Linked DNA regions of Struthio camelus. The protein of the gene in region 2 purifies or fractionates together with the protein of the main gene of each other region. This does not show direct contact. Links are inferred from orthologs where the notes say so. Each region holds a gene or a part of one and is shown on either strand. Other genes may lie near its edges.

Evidence for each region. The genes of interacting proteins can lie anywhere in the genome.
Region 1: the proteins of WDR62 (region 2) and MAPK8 purify together in Homo sapiens (affinity purification with mass spectrometry; 5 studies listed by BioGRID and IntAct, counting the BioPlex papers as one, with this or other methods). This does not show direct contact. The link is inferred for Struthio camelus from reciprocal best matches to the Homo sapiens genes WDR62 and MAPK8.
Region 3: the proteins of WDR62 (region 2) and CEP170 purify together in Homo sapiens (affinity purification with mass spectrometry; 3 studies listed by BioGRID and IntAct, with this or other methods). This does not show direct contact. The link is inferred for Struthio camelus from reciprocal best matches to the Homo sapiens genes WDR62 and CEP170.

The regions. Positions count from the first base shown.
Region 1 is NC_090948.1:21,904,704-21,911,825, reverse strand, and holds the start of MAPK8 (mitogen-activated protein kinase 8), read left to right. Parts: upstream 1-4,106; 5' UTR 4,107-4,264; intron 4,265-4,315; exon of another isoform or gene 4,316-4,378; intron 4,379-4,591; exon of another isoform or gene 4,592-4,723; intron 4,724-4,921; exon of another isoform or gene 4,922-4,940; intron 4,941-5,800; 5' UTR 5,801-5,882; intron 5,883-7,122. UniProt on the Homo sapiens protein: Serine/threonine-protein kinase involved in various processes such as cell proliferation, differentiation, migration, transformation and programmed cell death.
Region 2 is NC_090957.1:1,836,808-1,844,743, forward strand, and holds the start of WDR62 (WD repeat-containing protein 62), read left to right. Parts: upstream 1-4,927; 5' UTR 4,928-4,942; coding exon 4,943-5,132; intron 5,133-6,101; coding exon 6,102-6,193; intron 6,194-6,397; exon of another isoform or gene 6,398-6,534; intron 6,535-6,578; coding exon 6,579-6,641; intron 6,642-6,734; exon of another isoform or gene 6,735-6,836; intron 6,837-6,962; coding exon 6,963-7,020; intron 7,021-7,309; coding exon 7,310-7,542; intron 7,543-7,890; coding exon 7,891-7,936. Other genes in the region: THAP8 (THAP domain-containing protein 8), read right to left, coding at 2,178-2,294, 3,486-3,846, 4,526-4,722. UniProt on the Homo sapiens protein: Required for cerebral cortical development. Plays a role in neuronal proliferation and migration.
Region 3 is NC_090944.1:98,413,046-98,420,269, reverse strand, and holds the start of CEP170 (centrosomal protein of 170 kDa), read left to right. Parts: upstream 1-4,208; 5' UTR 4,209-4,410; intron 4,411-7,224. Other genes in the region: SDCCAG8 (serologically defined colon cancer antigen 8), read right to left, coding at 3,368-3,434.

The DNA.
Region 1 (7,122 bases), on a different chromosome or scaffold from region 2:
TAAAAGTCCCTGTGGTCTTGTTCTGAATGCCTAGAAATGCCCTTTGTTCTGGAATTATTCTTAGAAAGCCAAGTATAGAGGCTTCATTGATAAGGTGCAGCATTAAGCAGCCGCAGTGGAAAGGGAGATCAGGCATCTAAGTACATAATTTAGGAAGACAGGAGTGTGACACAGATAAAAATTAGAAGTATGTTTGGGGGATTTAGGAATTAAACTCTACAACTCAAAGTTACACACACCTATAATCAATATTTCCCTAGTAAAGAAACCAGAGCAACACTTGGCTATGACATAGTTAGAATACGTTACCAGAATCCAGCCCTGAATCTGGCGCAGGGATCCCACTCTCCGATGTTGTCACCATATAAAGCCAAACTCAAGAACTTTTATCTAAATTATATGAAAGCCTTGCCCATGCAAAATTTCAGCTGAGTGACAGTATAAATAAAAAACACCCTATGTTGTATTAATATCAGTGTATAGAAATATGAGGCATTGTGATACCATAAACACTGTCTCTTCATGGTTAAACTACACTTTTCTCCACTAGCAATTTCTGATCAGCTGAGTATGTCTAACTGGTTGTATATACTTGGCTGCCAATTTACTTGGTACACCCTACTGATATAAATGGACTGTTAATGGACTTACACTCAGAAAGACCTTTGCAGGCTCAGCAAAGAAGAGGTTAACAGTGTTAATGCCATTTCAGAGAACACATGGTCTGTTGACTACACAGACAGAAATGTCTCTTTTTCTGAGCTGAAGTATACCTTATGCATGAACATGGCCCCTGTGCTCATGATCAAGGTTATAACCTGTTGCATGGTGCCCCGTGGTGGCTGCTTTCCTTCTGCTACCTTTGCCAAGGCCAGCAACTGTTCAGTTGATTTTGATTACTATTAAAAAAACTTAATCCTAAGTCATGATTATTTGCTAACAGGCAGAACGAACAATAAATCAGCATTTACTGATTAGTGACTGTTTCCAGTTCCACTCAGTGGGGGAATGCAGTTCCCTCCAACTAGTTACTTGACACTGATTTCATCTTGCTCTTAAAGACATAGTTAAATAAAAAATCCAGCTGGTAAAATGTTTCTTTTATTAATTTCCTTTTGATCTACTGGGTTATTAAAATGAAACATTTAAACACCTGCTATATTTATCAACAGTTAGAAGGTGTGATTCTTCATTCATTTTCTTTGTATGCTTTTTTCAGGCTTTAATATGCCAGTTAATTGAATTTTTGGTTGTAACTAGTTTCTAGCAAATGTCCATTTCATTTTCTAGTGTGAAATACAACTTTTGTATTGCAACCAATGGTAAAGATAAACTGTTGAAGTAAAGATATTATCAAACGGTTTTGTTTACTTCACATAAACATTTGTATTACTTATGGAATTTTCTAAAATGTTATAAAGTCTGGGGGTTGTTTCCAAATATAATGCCCTTAGCAAACAATATTTATCAACTTGTTTTTATAACAGGGCGTGGATGTTGATCCTGGCTGTGACTTATCAAGCCTCAGCGTGGAAAAACTGGGCCCCCTGACTCCCCACAATTCTTGTTGATCTCTTCTTGGCCAGATAATTAGTGAGGTGAGGAGATGGTTATGGTTTATTAATTTCCAGAAGGCATCTTTCAGTGCTGAAAGGTAGCTAGGTGTCTATGCAATGATGATATTTATATACATGTCTAAAACAAATAAATGATAGAATTACAGTGACTGCATGTTTGCACAGGTGGTTCAGCCTGGGAAGTTCAGTGAAATGCAATTTTTGTCTTCTATTGAAGATGACTTAAGAAAAGAAATGTTAGAAGGTCCATTCTTGCAGATACATGTTTTTAAATAAGATAACTTAAAAAAAAAAAAAAACTTTTTTCAGAGCATGCTATTTACCTGCCTATCTAAATGTTGTTATCTTACAGTTGCAACACATACCTAGAATATCTTATTTCTCTTCTCAGGAAGAGAAACTTGTCTAAGAATGATTGTAGGCATAATCAGATACTTACTTTTAAACAGCTGTTGTGGTTTAAGAAGGTACCACCCTGTGTCTTCTCACTGCAGCCCCATTCAACTGAAGTACATTCACTTACTTTGTGAATTATCCTAGTCCGTTTTGGTGCAAAAATAATTCATCATTCTTTACTATGGATGTTTTGTGGACAAAAGTGACTACATTATATAGCCTTGGGCTTGATGTTTTGTATTGTAGTTTCTAACTTTTCTTATCTTTTTGGATATCAGTCAGGACGATCCAGAAAAGAGTCTCCACCCGGGCATACTCAATATTTGCACATAGCCATTATGCTTGCAAGAAAATACTTCTGCAAAGCAGTTTTGAAAACAACACTATGGTGATGCTAAATAACATTCTCAAAAAAAAAATTTTTTTTAGGGACTTAGTTTTAAAAAACAGATTATTCACACAATCAGGGAAATTTTGTCCTTATTAAGAGAGGCATTATTTCAATGTCTTAAAATTTTTGCATAGAGCACAGGAACCTTACAGCCTATCGGTAATGTCTTTAATTTTTTAAAGGCGATATACTAGTAAGTAGCAGATTTATGATATCAAATCCTTATTTTCCTTTTATTGTGTTCCTTCATAAAATCTTTAAATATGTAGGAGTCCATGGAACGTGTAATATTAAAATATATAATGCTACTTCATTGTGCTTTGCATCAACACTGGTCTGCTCTTGTTGTGTAATTTCTGCATCATTATTATCTGTTGCTTATCAGCTCTGCATACAAGCTAGCGATAGATGCTGATGGCACATATGGCTGTGAGTGCTAGTTTTAAAAAACTCACTTATAAATACATCTCTGTTAAAGTGTCAACTTTGTAACGTGTAAAATCTCAATGAGAATTTGAACGTCCAGTGAAAAACATATGTGACAAACCTATAGCATAAGCAAAACGCCATTTTAAACTTGCCAGTCTCAGTGAAGTCTTATCTCAAATAGCACGATTAGGAACGATAGCTCCCCAAAAGATTAAGAGTAACATAGGTGATCCTTAAAGCCGCAGGAAGGAATTTGCCTTGCAAATAACTGTGCTGGCTGAACGTGGTGTCACCCCCCCACCCCCCGTTTCTGGCAGCAGAGACGCAGAGCAGCAAAGGTTGCTACCAGAGAGGTCTGCTTGCCAGCAGAAGGAAACACGTGCCTGTGCCACGGTCTGCTTCAGGCAAAATCGGCAGGGCTAGTCTCATCTGCTGATGAAGATGGATATGACCTAACCAGATTAAATTTTTTTGCCTCCAGTGGATTTCAGGGATTTGTATTGCCTTTCCTGCCAGCCTTTGGCACAAATAAACACGGAAGGGAATGCAACACCTGACTGTATTCTCACGTACTCCTACCAGAAAAAGCCTGAAAGCAAAACACGAGTTAATTCAACTCAGAGACTGCCCCATGAAAATAATCAGAGGTGAAGTGGGAGAAACTTGATTTCCTCTCTCTTGGAAAGACGCTTAAGAGCCTGGTGGGATGCAGAGGGGCCTCTCTCCTGGGGTGGAGTCTAAGCGATAGCTTTTCCTGTAGGTATAAAGGAAACGCTGTGTATCTGTCTGCAGGGATCTGTAATGGAACGACTTCTCAGATATGGATTGAAAATACGCTTGCCTAAAATAAATGAGAATTTTAAGGACGTGAGTGCAGAGACCTCACTAAAACAGGCATATGAGTAGTAGGTCAACAGCTTTATGGAAGTGAAGCTCCTAATAGCGCCAGGATAGTGGGCCAAACTGTAATACTCTGAAGCACCACCTTTATGGTGTGAAAATCTAAGCTTGTTACAGCCATGCAGCAGGGTAAAAGCTGTTAGCAGTGACGACCTCACTGTGATCTTGGCATCTTCAAAAACGTGACACTTAAATGTTTAACAAATCGATTAAACGTGGACTGTCTGATTTTGGTGTGCCGGACTGACAGATTTTAATTAAAAACCGGTCAAAGAGCCTTTTTTGTACTGTGCAGCGTAAATATACAAAGGCTTGCTTCAAACGTGTTGATAGGGCTTCAAGGTGCTCAGAGGCCTGGCCTCCTTTTGTCTCTGCGCAGTGACACGGGGCGGGGAACAAACAATGATATACCAAAGAAAACGCAGAAAAACCAAAGAGCGACTGCTTGCGTCAGGCAGCGAGAGCCAAAGACGATGGCGAGGGATGACTCAAAGCCTCGCAACGCAGCACTGAAGACTGAGAGGAAAAATTGCCAGAGCAGCTACGGAACAAAAAAATATGACAACACCCAGTAAGGAGATAAAGCTCGGGCGTGGCAGACGCGGCCCCGGATCCGCGGCGGTGCCAGCGCAGCCCAAGGCGTCTGGGGGCACGAGGAAAACTGCCGCTGGAGCGCGATGGCGGGGTGCGGACGGCATGGAGCTGCGAAACGCGGTTGTTTATGGCAGTGCCGGCAGGAGGGGAGGCGTAATTCGGGACAGGGGCTGCTGCGGGAGGGCGGGCGCGGAGGAGCCCTGGCGATGCCGGCGCTGGCAGCCGGGCGGGCAGCGGGGGCGCCGCAGAGCCCGCGGGCGCGGACAGGCCGCGGCGTGGGCGGGGCCGGCGCAGCCGCAGCCGCGCCGGGCGGGCGGAGCGTGCGCGCGGCCCGGCCCCGGCTCATTACTCAGCGGCCGAGCAGGCGGCGGGAGGCGGCGAGCGGGGCCGAGACGGCGGCGGCGGCGGCGGCCTGGCTGGGGCTGAGGAGGAGGTGGTGGTGGCGGCGACGGCGGCGGCGGGGAGCGGGACTGAGGCGGCGGCGGCCGGGCCGGGCCTCTTTGTTTACGTTTCGGAGCGAGGCCGCGGCGGGGGCGGCGCTCGGCCTGTGGCAGCGGGGGCGCCCCCGGCCCTGAGGCGACGCGGGGCTCTCCAGGCCCGTGTCCGCCGGGGCCGGGCCGGGCCGGGCCGCGCTCGGCGCCCGGCGTCTCCCGGTAACGGGGGGGGCGGGGGGCTCTTTGTTGGCGGCCGGGAGGGGCCGGGGCTCGGCGCGGGCTCCTCCCCCGGGGGCGCGGGGGGCGGCGCGGCGCGGCGCGGCGGCCTGTTGGCCTGCGGGGCCGGGACCGCCCCCCGCGGGAGCGCGGCTCCGCGACCTTGCTGTGGAAGTGCCTCCTCGGGAAGAAACGCTCCTCCGGGACGGCGTGACCGCCCCAAATCCGCAGGGGGGCTGGGGGGCGTCTGGCGGCGCTTCCGATTGTTTTGCCTTTTAATTTCATGTTTCCGGTGAAAGGGGTGAGCTGCCTGCCTGCAGAATTTGTTTTGTCCTTTAGTTGCTCTGTGTCGCTAACAGCGTCTGGCTTTGCTCTCAGAGCCTGTTTCTTTATGTGTCTCTCTGTGGAGTGGTGCCATCGCTGAAGCCTGATCTGGGCATGACTGATAAGCTACAAATATGAACCCCACTCGGTTAATTCTCCCCTAGTTACAGTAACAGATTCAGGTGTGTAGTGTGTTTTTTGAATTTAAGCGCTCTGCAGAACAGGCTTGCTGAAGTCTTTCAGATCATCCAGAAACCCTGCACGCTTTGGCCTGTCTGATAATGTAAATATAGAGGGTATTATACTTCTCGTGGAAGGAAAGTATTAATTGCCCTAGGGCACGTGCATGTAGAGTTTTGCGAGGAGAATTTTGCAAGCTTACATCACAACTCGGTCTTATTTACAGGCATGGAGACACTGACTAGTGGGGGACTCTCAATTTACATGAGTGCTAGCCTTGCTTTTAGAGGTGCAGACAAATATACCCCTAGGATGGGACAGTATTTGAAATGCATCTTACTTTATCTATGTATTTGCAGATATATCAGCATAACCTACAAATGGTTCCAGCTGTAGCCTGAAGACGCACTGGGCCAAATCTAGTTAAAGTCTACTGTCAAAGTGAGTTCACTGACTTATCTGAGCTTTCCTGGGGTATAATGAAGAGGGACTCTTAATTCTTTTAGTAATACCTAAGAAACGTATGTTGAATTTTTAACAGTCCCATGCTTGATCTCGGTCTACGAGGACAGCCATCTTGTCTTTTTTTTCACTTGATTTCAGATTTGTAGCATAGGCTAGTCCCTCTGCCCTCCTCCACCCCCCAAGTGACTGGATGTTCAGTGGTTTTCACATAAACGCCCATTGCTGAGTTCTGCAGAATCTCTACTGCCAGGACAGGGACCAGACAAATTCCAGGTTGATTGTCAGGTACTAACTGCTTTCAAGACAGATAGGGCAAAAGTATGTTAGGAGAAGGGAAAGAGTTTTGGAGTTGTAGAGGATGCACAAAGTTGACTGCACAAAGACATTTTGTCATAACTCTGACAAAGCAATTTTAACTCTGTCTTCTAGTGCAGAATTTCCCTAGCTTTTTGGCTCCAGTGGCTCCTATAAGCAGATGAAGTGTCTTGCTGTTTACCATATACCATATGGAGGCTTCTTGGTCAGAAACATTAAAAAGATGATCCAATACAGTCCTGTGTCCTACTGTTTGGGACTACTCATTCTAGGCAGAAGATGAGCTGTCCTTTGTGTATGGGTTGTTTTCTTGGTTGTTGTCTTTAACTTTTAATGATTCTCTTTAGAGAGCTAGGCCTTTGCTGGCTTTATAGGAGTGCAAGTATAACCTCCTTTGCAAATCCTTTAGATAAGTTGCTGTATCAGCCAATTGTAATGCAAATATTAGCAAATAAATTCCATTGTTGAGACTCCAAAACACTTATTTATTTTCTGCCTGCTACTTACCTGACATGGTTAGTTGTGGTTGTTGCTTGTTCTAATTCTTAAACCATGAGTTAATGGGATAGTATTTGAGATTATAATACTATTTGGTTATTTGTTCACTGTATGTTTGGGTGGTTTTTTTTTTCTTCCTTTCCCAACTACCTAAATCATGTGAGTGCTTGTTGTTTAAAGATGTATAAAAAGTAAGTGTGTAGCCCTTCATTTCTGAGGATTGATCCAATATTCTGGACTAAAACAGATATCCTTCCTGATAATCTGCTGAAAAGTACGGTATGATGTTTCTTAAGCTTCCCTTTTCTTCCCCATGAAAAAAGTTTTCTGTGAGTATGTATATAATGTTCATTGCTGTATCACTTTTTGCAAATTAGGCTAATCTGGTTTTGCTCATAGCTGC
Region 2 (7,936 bases):
TATAGGTGCTGCAGTGGCTATAGAGTATATAGGGGCTGGAGAGGGGCACTAGAGGCTGTAGGTGCTACGGGGGCTACAGGGGCTGGAGGGGCTACAGGGGCTGCAGAGACTGCAGAGGGGCTATGGGGGTCACTGGGGCGACAGGGGCTATAGGGGCTGGAGAGGGGCTAGAGGGACTAGAGCAGCTGTAGGGTATATAAGAACTGCAGGGGGCTATAGGGGGCTACAGGGAGTGTAGGGGCTATAGCAGCTGGACAGCGGCTGGAAGGGCCGTAGGGGCTAAAGGGATTATAGGTGCTGGAGGGGCTATTGGGGCTGCAGAGGCTACAGGGGCTATAGGGGCTGGAGTGAGGCTACACGGCCTGCAGGGGCTATAGCAGCTGGAGGGGCTATAGGGGCTGGAGGATCTATAGGGGTTAGAGGGGCTACAGAGGCTCTGGGAGCCAGGGAGGTGCCGCAGGGGAGCTATAGGGGCTGCAGTGGGGCTATAGGGGCTGCAGAGCAGCTCTAGAAGGAAATCGGGGGCTATAAAAGCTGGAGAGGCACTATAGGGGCTGCGGTGCAGCTATAGGGGGCTAGGGAAGCGTCATAAAGGCTGTAGAGGAGCTATAGGGGCTGGAGAGTGGCTATAGAGGGTTATGGGGGGTATAAAAGCTGTAGAGGGGCTATAGTGGCAGGAGAGCGGCTATAGGGGGCTATGGTAGTGTCATAAAGGCTGGAGAGGGGCAATAGGGGTTGGAGAGCAGCTATAGGGGATTGTGGGGGGTTATAAAGGCTGCAGAGGGGCTCTAGGGCCTCCACGGTGGGTTTTAAAGGTTGGGGAGGGGCTATAGGGGGCCATCGGGGGCTATGAAGGCTGGGAAGAGGGTGTAGAGAGCTATGGCGGGGGGAGTCATAACGTTTGAAGAGGCTATAGGGGCTGGGGAGCAGCTATAGAGGCCTGGGGAGGGGGTAATCAAGGGCCAGAGAGGGGCTATAGCGGTCTATAGGGGCTGCAGTGCAGCTACTGGGGGTACAGAGAGGGGCTATAGGGAGCTGCGGAGGCACTGCAGCGGCTGGAGAGCAGCTATAGGGCAGCTACAGCAGGTAGTGAGCGCTATAGGGGGCCGAGGGTGCTGGGGAGAGGTTTATGGGGACTATAGGGGGCTTTGGGGGCTATAGGTGAGGACAGAGACGGGAAGCGGGCTTTGGGGGAGGTTACAAGGGGTGGAACGGCGCTCGAAGCGGTATAGGGTGCTATAGGGGGCACGTGGGGGGCAACAGGGGGTGGCGGAAGGGGCCTAAAGAGGGCTACAGGGGCCTATAGGGTGCAAAGAAGTGAGAGGAGCCATACGGAGGCTGGAAGGCTGCTATAGGGAGCTGGAGGGGCTGTGGGGGCTCAATGGGTCGGAGAGATGCTATAAGGGGGCTATAGGGGGCTGCAGGAGGGGCTAAGAGAGCAGAGAGGGGATTATGGGGGGGCCTATAGGGGCAGAGACTATAGGGAGGGCGAAGGGCCCCTTCCTGTATCTATAGGGAACTGGCAGCACAGACTCGCCCCAAGGGCTGCCACCTTCTTTCCCCGCTGCCAACAATCCTCCGTTAACTCTGGAACCTACTGACAGCTGCAGCCCAGGGCTCAGAGCGCAGGGTCAGCAGACAACCAGCCGCCACCCAGGGGTGGCCCCAGGGCCGACCCCCACCCAAGGGGACCTCCGAGGGCCGACCCCCACCCCGGGGTCCCCCCCCCACCCTGAGGGTCGAGCGTCACAGACCACCCCCCGCCGCCGCCATCACTTTTGTCTCCGTTCAGCCTTTATTAAAGCGATCGACAATCCCGCCGCCCCGTGTCACAAAATAAACCCGAAATTAAAAAAAAATAAGGTGCCCCCCCACCCCAATCACCGGTGGGGCACGAGGGCTCGTCACCGTCAGCACCCAAAGGTGTGGGGGGGGGGGGCACGGCCACCACCCAGCCACCGCTTCGGTCCCCTCCGCGCCCCCCCCTCCTCCCCGAAACCGCCTTCCGCGGGGCGATTCCCGGGGCGGGGGGGGGGGAAGCCAACCCCCCCCCCCCAACCTCCGTGGCGAACGCGCCGGCTCGCGGAGCTCGAGGCGGCGGTTGTCACCCCGGGGGTTGTCACCCGGCGCGGCGGCGCGTTGTGCCGCGAGCTCGAGGCCCCGGCCGGCGGCTCCGCTCACGGCTCCTCCGGGCGCGGGACGGCGGCGGTTTGCGGCGCGGCGTACGGCACCGCCGGCTCCTCGTCCCGGCAGACGACGGTCACGGTGTTGCCGGGCTCCGGCTGTAGGCAGGCCTGGAGGACGAGGAAACGGGGAGGAAACGGGGAGCCGCCGCGGGGCGGAAGAACAGATTCGGGGCTGGGGGGGGGGGGGGTGAAAGCGCTGCGACGGCGGCGAGCCGAGACCGCCGGGCCCAGGACGAGGCGTCCCGGGGTGGGGGGGGGGGTTTGGGGGTCCCGCGGGGGTCCCGGGGGGGTCGCGACGCTCCGCGCCGCCGGTACCTGCAGGGCCGCGGCCGCCGGGGCTGGGCTCGGCCACGGCCTACGCGCGGCCCGCCCGGGGGAAGGGCGGCGCTATAGGGGCTGCAGAGGGGCTATAGGGGAGCTATAGGGGCTGCGGGGGCTATAGGTGCTAGAGAAGGGCTATAGGGGCTACAGGGGCTGGACAAAGGCTATAGGGGAGCTATAGGAGCGATAGGGGCTGGAGAAGAGCTAGAAGGGCTAGAGGGGCTGGAGGGGAGCTATAGGGGCTGGAGAGGAGCTATAGGAGCGATAGGGGCTAGAGCAGCTAGGGGTGCCAGAGAGGAGCTATAGGGGCTCCAGTGACCACAGAGCATATAGGGGCCGGAGGGGAGCTATAGGGGCTGGAGAGGAGCTATAGAAGCGATAGGGACTGGAGAGGGCCTAGAGGGGCCACAGAGGAGCTATAGGGGCTCCAGCGACTACAGAGCACGTAGGGGCCGGAGAGGAGCTATAGGGGCTCCAGTGACCACAGAGCACGTAGGGGCCGGAGAGGAGCTATAGGGGCCGGAGAGGAGCTATAGGGGCTCCAGCGACTACAGAACACGTAGGGGCCAGAGAGGAGCTATAGGGGCTCCAGCGACTACAGAACATGTAGGGACCGGAGAGGAGCTATAGGGGCCAGAGAGGAGCTATAGGGGCTCCAGCGACTACAGAACATGTAGGGGCCAGAGAGGAGCTATAGGGGCTCCAGCGACTACAGAGCACGTAGGGGCCAGAGAGGAGCTATAGGGGCTCCAGCGACTACAGAACACGTAGGGGCCAGAGAGGAGCTATAGGGGCTCCAGCGACTACAGAGCACATAGGGGCCGGAGAGGAGCTATAGGGGCCGGAGAGGAGCTATAGGGGCTCCAGCGACTACAGAGCACGTAGGGGCCAGAGAGGAGCTATAGGGGCTCCAGCGACTACAGAGCACGTAGGGGCCGGAGAGGAGGAGGTCCCGAAATTCGCGGCGGCGCCACCCACCAGCGGCAGGAGCCCGAGCCCGCGCCGGGCGGGGAGGCTGTGGGCGCGCAGCCGCTGCACCAGGCTCTCCATGGCCTCCAGGCGGGCGCAGTGGCGCCGGCGCCGCTGCTGCAGCCCCTTCACCTTCCTCTGCAGCAGCAGCACCAGGCCGACGAGCTGCTCGGTGCTCAGCTCGGCCGCGGAGCCCCCGGCGGCGGCGGGAGGAGGAGGAGGAGGGAGCCGGACGCTCCGGGAAGGAGGCGGCGGCGGCGAGTCGCAGGCGGTCACGGCCGAGTTGGGGGGCTCCGGCGGGGGGTCCGGCGGCATCGCCCCCTCCCCGTGGCTCTGCGGCGCGGGGTCAGCGCGAACCGACGTCCCGAATCTGCGCGAGGGGCCGGAGCTGTCGGTGGGGGAGGGGAGGGGGGAGGCCAAGGCCTCCTCCATCCCGGGGTTCCCCTCCCCCCCCCCCCAGCAGCTCCCCCCCACCACCACCCCGGGGTGCTCTTGGCCCCTCCCCCATCCTGGGGTGCTCCCCACCCCACCCTGGGGGTTCCCCTCCCCCCTACCCCGAGGGGCTTCTGGCTCCTCCCCCTCTTGGCCCCTCCCCCACCCTGGGTGCTCCCCGACCCTTCCCCCACCCTGGGAGTTCCCCTCCCCCACTCCAGGGGGCTCCCGCCCCTCCCCCACCCCGGGGCTCCCCTCCCCCCACCCCGAGGGGCTCCTGGCTCCTCCCCCTCTTGGCCCCTCCCCCACCCTGGGGGGTTCCCCTCCCCCACCCTGGGGTGCTCCCGACCCCTCCCCCACCCTGAGGATTCCCCCCCACCCCGAGGGGCTCCCAGCCCCTCCCCCACCCCGGGGGCCCCTCCCCCACCCCGGGGGGCTCCCAGCCCCTCCCGCTCCCCCCTCCCAGCCCCACGCGACCTCTGCCCGGGCCCAGGACACGGCACCACCCCCCCCACCCACCCCCGCCGCGTGACGTCACGGCGCGGCCCGTGACGTGCCCTGACGTCAGCCCCCGGCCGCCAAGACCCGGAAGCGCCTGCCGGGCGGGGCGGCGGTACCGACTCGCGGAGGGGGGGGCGGCGGCGGCGGCAGGAGGCGGCGGCAGGAGGCGCCGGGCCGGGCCGGGGGCGCTGGGGCAGCTCGGGGCCCGGCACCACTCGGCCACCACCACCGCCGCCGCCGCCGCCCACGTGACGCGCCGCCGCGCTGCGTCAGCGCGCACGCACGCACGCCACGCCCCTTCCCCGGTGCGCATGCGCGCTGCCGCAGGCGGGGAGGGGCGGGGCGCCGCCATAGCAACGCGGCCTGCACGCCGGAGCCGAGGCGGGGCGGGGACATAAACACGGCTTCCCCACCCCCTCCTCCGCAGCGGCGCCGCCTATTGGCCGAGCCCCGCGCTGATTGACAAGGGGGCGGAGCGGGCGGCGCCCCGCTCTCCTATTGGTCGAGCCGCTGAGCGGCGTGGGCGGGGGCCAATGGGGTGGGGACGCCGGCTGGCCGCGCGCAGTTCGGAGCTGCGGCGGGCGGCGGCGGCGGCCCGGAGCCATGGCGGGAGCCGGCGGTCCCGGGCCCGGTCCCGGCCCCGTTCCCGGCCGGGCCGGCACCGACTCGCCGCCTCTCTTCACCCTCCGGCGGCGGTCGCGGCACCAGGGTCCGGAAGACGCGGTGAGGCGAAGGGAAGGGAGGGGGCGGCCGTTGGCGGGGGGCGGGGCCTGTGGGGGGCTTGGGGGCGGGGCCTAGGGGTGTTGGGGCGGGGCTTTGGGGGGAGCGGGGACCCCCCATGGGGCGGGGCTTGGGGGGCCCATAGGGATTGGGGTGGTGGGGGTGGGGCTTGAAAGGGGGCGGGGCTTGGAGGTCCCCGTGGGGATTGTGGTGGGGGAGGGGCTTGGGGGCAAGGCTTGGGGTCCCCATGGGGATTGGGGTGATGGAGGCGGGGCTTGTAGAGGGGGCGGGGCTTGGGGTCCCCATGGGGATTGGGGTGATGGAGGCGGGGCTTGTAGAGGGGGCGGGGCTTGGGGTCCCCATGGGGATTGGAGTGATGGAGGTGGGGCTTGTAGAGGGGGCGGGGCTTGGGGTCCCCATGGGGATTGGGGTGATGGAGGTGGGGCTTGTAGAGGGGGCGGGGCTTGGGGTCCCCATGGGGATTGGGGTGATGGAGGTGGGGCTTGTAGAGGGGGCGGGGCTTGGGGTCCCCATGGGGATTGGGGTGATGGAGGTGGGGCTTGTAGAGGGTGCGGGGCTTGGGGTCCCCATGGGGATTGGGGTGGTGGGGTGGGGCTTGTAGAAGGGGTGGGGCTTCGGGGTCTCCATGGGGATTGGGGTGGAGGGGTGGGGCTTGTAGAGGGGGCGGGGCTTCAGGGTCTCCATGGGGATTGGGGTGGAGGGGCGGGGCTTGTAGAGGGTGTCGGGCTTGGGGTCCCCATGGGGATTGGGGTGGAGGGGCGGGGCTTGTAGAAGGGGTGGGGCTTGGGGGTCTCCATGGGGATTGGGGTGGTGGGGGTGGGGCTTGTAGAGGGGGCGGGGCTTGGGGGTCCCCTTAGTGGGGGGACTAAGGAGTCCCCCTGCATCCTCGTGGCTTTCCCTCGACTTCCGATTTGGGGGATTTTGGGGGTTTTTTCTCCCCCCCCCCCCCAGGTTATGCTCGAGCGAGTGCTGGGAATAACCACCCAAAGCAGCAGCGCGCTGGCCTGCGACCCCACCACCGGGCAGATCGCCTATCCGGCGGGGTAAGCGCTTCTCGTCCCCCTTGGTCCCAAATGATCCGGCAGCCCCCGGCAAACAGCGGGGGGGGGGAAAACCCCTTCGGCTCGCTCTCGCCGAAGCCGGCTTGGTCGAACGGCGTTATTTGCCGTTGCCGCCCGGAAACGCCTTAACTGACCTCAAAACCGCATCCCGGTTTGGTGCCAGCACTAAACCTTTGGCTTCTCCGAGTTTAAAACGCGGCAGGTTGCCGTTTCCTGCAAAAACGCTTTTACGGGAAGGCTTTAAAGCTCTCGGCGGTCTCTCTCGTCCTCCCTTAAAACCCCCTTCGTTCCTCCGAAGCCGCGATCGAGGAAAACGGCTACCGGTACGCCCTCGATCTCTCTTTTGCCTTTGTTTTTTCTTTTCCAGATGCGTCGTTGTCATCTTAAATCCCCGAAAGAACAAACAGAGACACATCCTGAACGCTTCCAGGTCTCGGGGCGACTTTATCTACCCTCAGCCTCCCAGCGGGCTCGGAGGGAGGTTTGGAAAGCGGCGACGTTTGCGTTCAGGTCGCGTCGGGGCAAAGCGCGCTCCTCCGGCGCGCGCCGGGCCGTTTTCTACCTGCTCAAACGGGCTTGGGAAGGCGGACCGCGCTGACGGTTGACTTTTGGGAACCGTATCTGGGTAGCTTAAAGCTTTTTTTTTTTTCTTTTTCTGCTTTAACGTCACGTTCGACGCAAGGAAACGTTAGTTTGCCCTCTGGCGTGGCTCTCTGTAGCCCAGTTCTTAAAAACCCTCATCTTTTTGCAGGAAAACCCTGAGTGCTTTGGCCTTTTCCCCCGACGGGAAGCTTATTGTGACCGGAGAGGTGAGTCTGACTCGTTTGTAATCATGCCGTTTGCCCGTTTTTAATTGCCCAGCGCTGGTAAACATCCCTTACGAGCAGCACAGAGTAGCCAAGAATATTCCTCCAGCTTTTTTTTGTGTGTTTTCCGGCCCGTTTCCAGCCTTGGGCACTGGGGATCCCGGTCAGTCGGCATGATAACGCTGCTCATAGCAGTCAGCTGTGAACTACGCGCCTGGCTAGCGCAGCGGATGGGGAGGAGGGGGATCGAAAACGGGCTGGAAAATGTCAGACAGCCCCTTTTTTTTGGAAGGGGGGGCGGGAGCGGCGCTGGCAAAACGCGAAAGCCTGCTGCCGCCCCGGCTCCTCTCGCAGAACGGGCACCGGCCGGCCGTGCGCGTGTGGGACGTCGAGGAGCGGACGCAGCTCTCCGAGCTGCACGGCCACAAGCACGGCGTGGCCTGCGTGGCTTTCTCGCCCAACGCCAAGTACCTGGTGTCGGTGGGCTACCAGCACGACATGATCGTCAACGTGTGGGACTGGAAGGTGAGCGCCGGAAAGCCGGGAACTTGGCCTCGTCGCCTTCGGTTCGGGCTTCCTCCCTGGAGGCGTTTAAGCGCGCGGGTCGACCCCGGCCAAACTCAGCTCGATTGGCAAATCGCCCGTTAAACCGAGCCGGCTCGCTGCGGCTGAACCGCCTCGTGAACTCTCGCCGAAACACCGCTATCACCCCCTCCCCAAATTGGGGCAGAATAGCCCTTTCCGATCTCTTTGCCTCGTGACGTTCCTGGGGGCGGCTAGAGGCAGCGGCTCGGCAGCAAGATCGCAACGTCGGCCGTTATTATCTTGTCTCGTCGACGAGCCGCTGGGGGCTGTTTGCTTCTTTCTGAGCAGAAGGATTCTCTGGTGGCATCCAACAAGGTGTCCTGTAAGGTCATGG
Region 3 (7,224 bases), on a different chromosome or scaffold from region 2:
CAGGCATGCTGTCTAAAATTGCAGAATCTGGATTGGAATTATAAGAATTTGTAGAAAAGTCTCAAACTGCATAATTATGCATGAAACATGGGTAAAGAATTAGGTTCGGCAACTCATGAAGTAATAATGATCTTTACTGACATTCGGTAAATCAACTACTGCTAGCGCTAACGACGTGAAGAATGTTTTTCGGGTCAAAGGAGTTAAAAATTGTACACCACTGAGAAACAAAGAGGTTGGCTGAGAAACATAATGGAATCCATGTTACATTCCCCGCACTGGGATTATGTTTGCATATTACCCTATTGATCTCCACCTACTGAGAAGCACTCCTGGATCTATGGAGTTGGTCCTATCTTTATACCGCATGGGAAAAGGCAGAGGTCCACATTTCCCAGAATGGTGCGGAAACTGAAGGGAAACAGCCACCAGAAGCTCAAATGTTCCAAAGTGATTTAAAAACCATAATGGATCCAATGTAAGGGAATCTAGTCAAAAACAGGAAAAATGGAAAGTGGTATGAAGAGAATACATGCATGCCTTCATTTGATATGAGGAGCTTTAATATCACTCTTGCACACAGTTAAACAGGCCAAGATGCAACATCCTTGAGAAAGGCCCTTTGAACTCACAGGAAAGTTAAAGAAGTCATTGACAACATCCAGATAACTTGGTACAAAGACATGCTTCAACTCCATATATCAAAAGGCTACATAACTATGAAGATATGAATATGACACTCCCCTATCACCTCAACAGGTTTTCTAGTTGAGAAAAAGAGAGATTCCCTTGGATCACTCAAAATGCACAACAAAGGACCTAAGAGAAAAGACAATATTCAGACTCTGTTGCAAAATGTAACAAAGAATATTTTCAAAATAAGACTAGTCTGAATAAAGGAATGAACTAAGAAGTCCTTACCAAGCTACTCATACACAGAAAAAAACATTTATATAAAGAAATATTGAGCACCCTGAAATTAGCCTGAATAGGCTTAGAGTCCAAAGGCCTTTGGCTTCCACTGCTGTCAGTCTCTAAGAAAGCCATGAACATCACATCCTGTAGGGGCTCCAGGCAGCAAAACGTAACCGCTGGATGACCATAACTACAAGGACGGATACTGAGCACAGCACGCTGCCTGGGCACTCTGGAACTAAAGGACACCAACAAATCTCCTTATATGAACACGAACAAAGGAAATCTGCCTTTCTCACTGCCTGTATGCAACCCTTTGGACTTACCAGAGATGCAAAAGACCATCATGGACTGGCCTGCAACTAAAATGAAAAGGTAGGTCACCCTCCTAGGCTATCACAGAACAAGAACAACAATTCAGAAGATGTTTCAGTAAAAGCGTATGTATCTCCTTCTGAGATCTGTATAAAAACAAGTAAACAATCCAGAAAAAGTATTCTAGATAATCAGAAGTGCTCTGAAAATAGGCAAAAATCTTGTTAAAACCACACATTTTCAGCACATTACTTACTTCAGCTTGTACTTATGCCTCTAGTAATGCAGGAGAAATGAACAAAAGAAAACAAAAACCCCAAGCGCGGCCTTTCTAAACAAAGCTATCCCTCTATGCATGACAGTACTCTGTAATAAAGCAGAGACATTATGCCACCAGATGATTTTTTTAAGCAGCAATACTGTAGTTGTTCGACTGTAGTTTTTTTTAAAAAACCTGAATAATCAGTCCATCTGGTTTCATCACAGTCTAAAGGAATGGACTCTAATTATATGCAGAGTTTAATCCTCAAAGAATTTGACAGAAAATCAGTCATATCATAGGAACAATAAAAAGTCAGAGCAAAAACCCTTTGCCTCAGTCCAAACTGAGCATTTGAAAATTATCCAGTGGTTTTCCATACTGGCCCACAGAAAAAGGAAATGTGATAAAGTTCAAAGATTAACTGTGCCTATGCATGGCAAGTCATAACTTTTACTCATCATTTTTACATAGCACAAAGGGACTCTACACATTTCAATACATGTTCCAATCTCTGTACTTCTAACTGTTCTATCTGTAGCTTCCAAGCAACATCTGTATGACCCATTTATACTCCTGGAAAAGTAACTAGAGACAATTCTTCAAAGCTGTATCTTCTGGAACAAAGCAAGATCCATCCTCAGTACAAACAACTGATGCTATTTTGAGAGAGTAAGGTGAAGTATTTGCTAAGAATAAAGTATCAAGTGGCTATTAAAAAATATTTCCATTGTTTTATCTTCTTGCAATAATGTTTCCTATATTGCAATTGTTCATGTAATTCACTAGCATCAGAAAACAAATTAGATTTATTTTCATTATCTTTAAATGCTGTTTAATAAAACATGAATTCAGGATGTGTTGATCTGGAACACAATATTTTTAATGCTAAGCAGGGTGGCATATCCACAGATTATCTTTTGGCTTTCTTCAGGATTTGGTTACATACTTTTACCAGTCAGAGGTAGTCTGAAAGCTTGTAACGCTCAGCTGTCATAGCAAAGAGGGGAAAAATGTTCTCTGCATATATAGTGCTTCTTGGATAAGAAGGCAGGTATGAATACAGTTTATGATGTGGGAATGATCACGCTCATAAGAATCATTTTTCTGCCTCTTCTTTATGACTAGAATTTTACACTTCAGTGAAAGCTAAGATCTGTGCACAAATCAAAGAAAAGCACACAAAACAGGCAGCAGCCCCATTAACGCCAAGGTTATGATCAGACAACTACTTCGGCTAGTATTAACTATATTTAAGGTGTGATATCTGACCGTTTACTTTAGCAGTCTGTTGCAACGCAAAATAAACCAAGACTATTTTTGTTGCAGTGGACCAGCAGAGTGCTCATGGTCAAGCAGCACCAGGGGCACTACAACTTGTTAAAGAGAACTAATGCAATCACACATGTAATCACATGACCCTACCTTATAGTTTGCCAGACACTGTATTTTTAGGTTCGTTCTGATTTTTATAGAAGTTCCAACTCCCCAAAGCACTTTTGGGAAGAAGAGAACAACAACAAGCTAGCCAGTCACACTTTAATTGGCTTCAAACTGCAGAAGCTCGAAGCACACGGGCTGTAGGTCTAATTTGGGGTTAAAGCGCACTGATTAAATAAAAGGCGGGGGAAGGGGGGGGATACGAGCACGGCTGACATGTTCTCACAAGTTCGAGTCAGGCCGTTGTACAGATGCGCTTTTACAGGGAAAACAAATTCTCACTCCGATATAATGTTGCTCTAGCCAGAGGTCCGGTTTAAGGAGCACCAGAAGAGCTAACTCGGCTCCTGCCACAAGTACGCCAAGAGCACGGCACGGCGCTGCCCCAGCCGAGCCGGGCCGGGACCCCCCCGCCCTGCCGCGGCGGCCCCCGCTCACCTCGGAGGCGCCTCTGGTACCGCTCCAGGGACTCTTGCAGGGCGGGCTCCCCCCGGGGCGCCCGCATGAGGAGACCCGTCCCTGCCGGACACCGCAGCCGCCGGCGGGGCTCCACTACAGGGGAAGCGCGTGGGAACCACCAGGCGATGCCCCGCCACACCGGCACCCCGCAACGGCGACCGGTAACGGTAGTTCGAGCCGCTCCGCTTTCCCGCGCGCCACAAGCGCCGGAGGCTCCCGGAAGAACTACAACTCCCACAATGCGCAAGGGGGACACGCTCCGCTTCCTCCGCGTTGTCCGTTGCTACCCGCGAACGGCCTCCCCCAGCCAGAGCGGAGCGTAGCAACGGTCGGGCCCCGCCACGCCCCCGAGCTACGCGGCGTGAGGCAAGGCCGTCAGAGAAACTACAAGTCCCAGCAGGCGGCGCGGCGCGCGGTGCTCCCTGGGAGGTGTAGTCTCTGCTGGCCGCCCACCTCCCCCACCCGGCAGCGGGCGGTGGGCAATCTCACACCCTGCTTTCCTCTTTGTTGTGGCTTGCGGCCGCGTTCGCGCCTGCGCACAAGGGCGCTCTTCCGCCTACGTTCTCGGGTCCGCAGTGGCTGGGTATAGCGCAGGTCCAGTCGTGCCAGAGGGGACGGGGCGGGGGGGGGGGGGAAGCTGTGTTTACCTCCCGCCACCGCGTACTCTGGCGCTTGCGCAGTGAGCGCCCGCCAGGCGGCGCGGAGAGTGCAATCACCCTCCTATTGTCTGAAGCTGGCGCAGGCGCAGCTCGGTCGCTGCGCCGCTCGTCCCTTGACGCCTGCGCGCTGGCCTCCCCCCACCCCCCCCCCATTGTGTGCGTTCGGGCGGCGCCTGCGCAGTGCCGTGCCCCGCTCTGCCCGTTAGCCGCTATGTGCAGGGAATAACGTTAGGGCGGTTGCTACAGGGACACCGAGCGGAGCGCCCCGCCCCCGCCCCGCGGGGATGCCGGGTCAGTGAGCACCGGCGGCTGCGGCGGCACCAGGGACGGCCCCTCCCCGTCGCGGCGAGCCTCCGAGAAGGGGTGAGTGGGGAGGGGGGTGCTGCCGCCCTGGCTGCGGGTCGGGTGCGAGCCGTGCCGGAGGGGGGCCGGGGTCGCGCCGCTTGCCCGCCATCCGCCCGCTGCCTATTGTGTCAGGCGCCGCGCCGGGGGGCTGCGCCCGGCCGAAGGGCGGTAGCGGACGGCCCCCCCCTCCTCCTCCTCCCCGTCGTGCCCGCTGCGGTCCCCCACCCCCTCGCCAGCGCGGCGGGGCCGGCGGGGGGCTGCCGCCGCGCCGAGCCCGTAGGGGAGCGGCGCAGATTGGATGCAGATGGTGCCGCCGGATGCCGGTGCCCGCAGCCGCCGGCCCGTTGCCGCCCCGCCGCCGCCGTGGGGCCCGGCCGGCCGCCCCCGCCGCCGGCACACACCCAGCCCACCCGGCCGGCTGCGGGCACCGCGGCTCTTCAGGCTGCCTCCCTCCCTCCCCCGCCGGCGGATTTCCGCGTCTCGAGGAGACCTTTTCAGCTGTTTGTTTGTTCATTTATTTATTTATTTATTCCGGTCACTCCTATTTCAAAAACTGCCCCGTGGCTGGAGAGGGTGTGTTTCTCCAGATTTAAAAATGACCGATAACTGTTCGTTTGACATGCAGTGTTCCCGCCGCCGCCCCCTTGAAATAACGATGTTGGAGCGGGATGATGGAGAAGATCTGTTGGTTTTGCCATCTCTCTTACTGTGTGTTTCCACCCAACAAAGAGGGTCTTTTACGTTCCATAACACTCTCCCGAATGCTCGATCTTTCCATTCTTGAGACTCTTCCCGCAGGAAACGTAGAATAACCTTCCCCCCCCCCCCAATCTCCGCCTCTCCCTGGTGGTGGAAGAAAAGTGCTGGGCTCACTTTTGTCTCTTTGGCCTGGAAACGAACGGGTTACGGATCTAACAAAAACCCGATGGCGGTTTTCAAATATAAAGCGTTTGGTAGAGGAGGAAGCTGGCTTCGGGGCGGCTCGGCGGCGGCGCCCTCCGCCCTGGCCGCCCGCGCACACGCCGCCGCGGCCGGATGCCGCCGGCCCTGCGGGCGGGGGGAAGGAGTAGCCTCCTCCAGATCGCTTTTGGGCGCGTTTGGCGTTCACCGGCAGCAGGCAGAGGTGACCGTGCATCTCTCGCAAGCCCGGCTGGAGAAACGCCAGCTGGATGAAGCGCGGATGATGGCCGTTCGGTGTCATAATTATGTATACGAGCCGGGAGGAGCTCGCGGTGACAAGAGTGTTGATGGTGTTGTGCTAGTTGCCAGCCTTTTAGACGTTATTTTAAACGTTTTTAAGATGAGCCGACAATTACTCCATCTGTTCTTACTGTTTTATGAAAAAATGGAGATGTAGTTGCTGTGCTGATGAATTGAAGATAAGAGTTGCGTTCTTGTGACAACCTAGATAAGAGGTTACAGATAGCACGCGCTGATCAGCCCTTTGAAGAAATTATTTTCTTCTCAGTGAAAGCAAAGGTGTTCATGAAGTATTTGATTTATTTGAAAGAATAAAGCCTGTTCCTGGCGCTATGATGAACCCCCCCCCCCGCCATGGAGTGCTGTTCAAGGCTTTGTGACAGTGAAAAATGGTGTGTGGGACAGGACGATTTTTGTAAACTGAACTAGTATGTGATTAAATATGCTGTGATTTCCTATGATTAATTTCCTCTGGGAATTATTTTCTGTCCAGATGTTGAGGAGTATGTCTTACTGGAACTGAGCTCTGTAGGTATGAAAGATCCTAAACTTTACTTAACAAAGGGCTGAGAGGGAAGGTTGAACATAAATACGTTTAAGAATCTCCCTTCCCTTTTTGATTTTCCAAATACTTTTCAGTTTATATACACGTATTTGTTTTCTTTTCTCTCTGAAAGAGGTCAGGAAGACTGCCTAAATGGAGAGAAAAGAATAGCTGAGTATACACAGAATTTTGTCAAAAGCAAGCCATAAGACTTTTTTTTCCCCTCTAACTTATGAACTATCTAAAAGGCATTTGTAATGAATCGGATAAAAATATTTCCTTTTCTACATTTAGAGAGAAGTATTTTGACATGAAAGTTGTTACTGAACTTACCTTATCTTGGTGCTGCATTTTCTTTGACATCTGTGCCGGCTATCCTGCAGGTGACTCCCTCCTGTATCAAATCAGGCTGGGTTTTGCAAATTAGAATAGGTTCTGTATTGGGCTTCATAAGCTGTAATAGGCCTGGCAGGAAGGTATTTTTTAACAATTCTCTTGATAACATACAGTCCAGAAAAGAGTTGCATTCTTGAAATTGAACTAGAGAAGTCTATGTTTACTTGCAGATGGGAACTAGGAAGCTTCCTTGAGCAACTGGAATAAAGCCTAAACCATGAATAGCTGCAGAAATTGATTTTGAGGTACAATTTCCAGTTCTTGCAAACGCAGGTAAAATGTAATAATGTAAGCTGATATCGTAGTATCTCCTTGAATCTCTACACAAAGACTATTTCCTTGTGGCAGCTGTCCTTCTTAGCTTTGGCAAGCAGAATTAAGTGGAGGTGAAACAGATTATTTTTACTTTGTTATTCAGGAAGCCAAGGATATCTGTGGAAATTTTACTTTTGCTTAAGAAAAACTTAACAGAGGAGACAGGCATTGAATATATTCAAATATCAGAACTTGTAGAAATTCTTGTATTTGCTTCTAACATTTGTGGGGTGTTTTTTTTTTTAACAAAAAAAAAAAACCAACAACAATGGCATGCACTTCCCCCTCTTTGAAGAACTTGGTGTATGATTAGTAAAAACTGGTATGGTAGCGACCAGGAGACTGTTTGGAATTTGAGAAAAGAAAGTTCTTTGTTA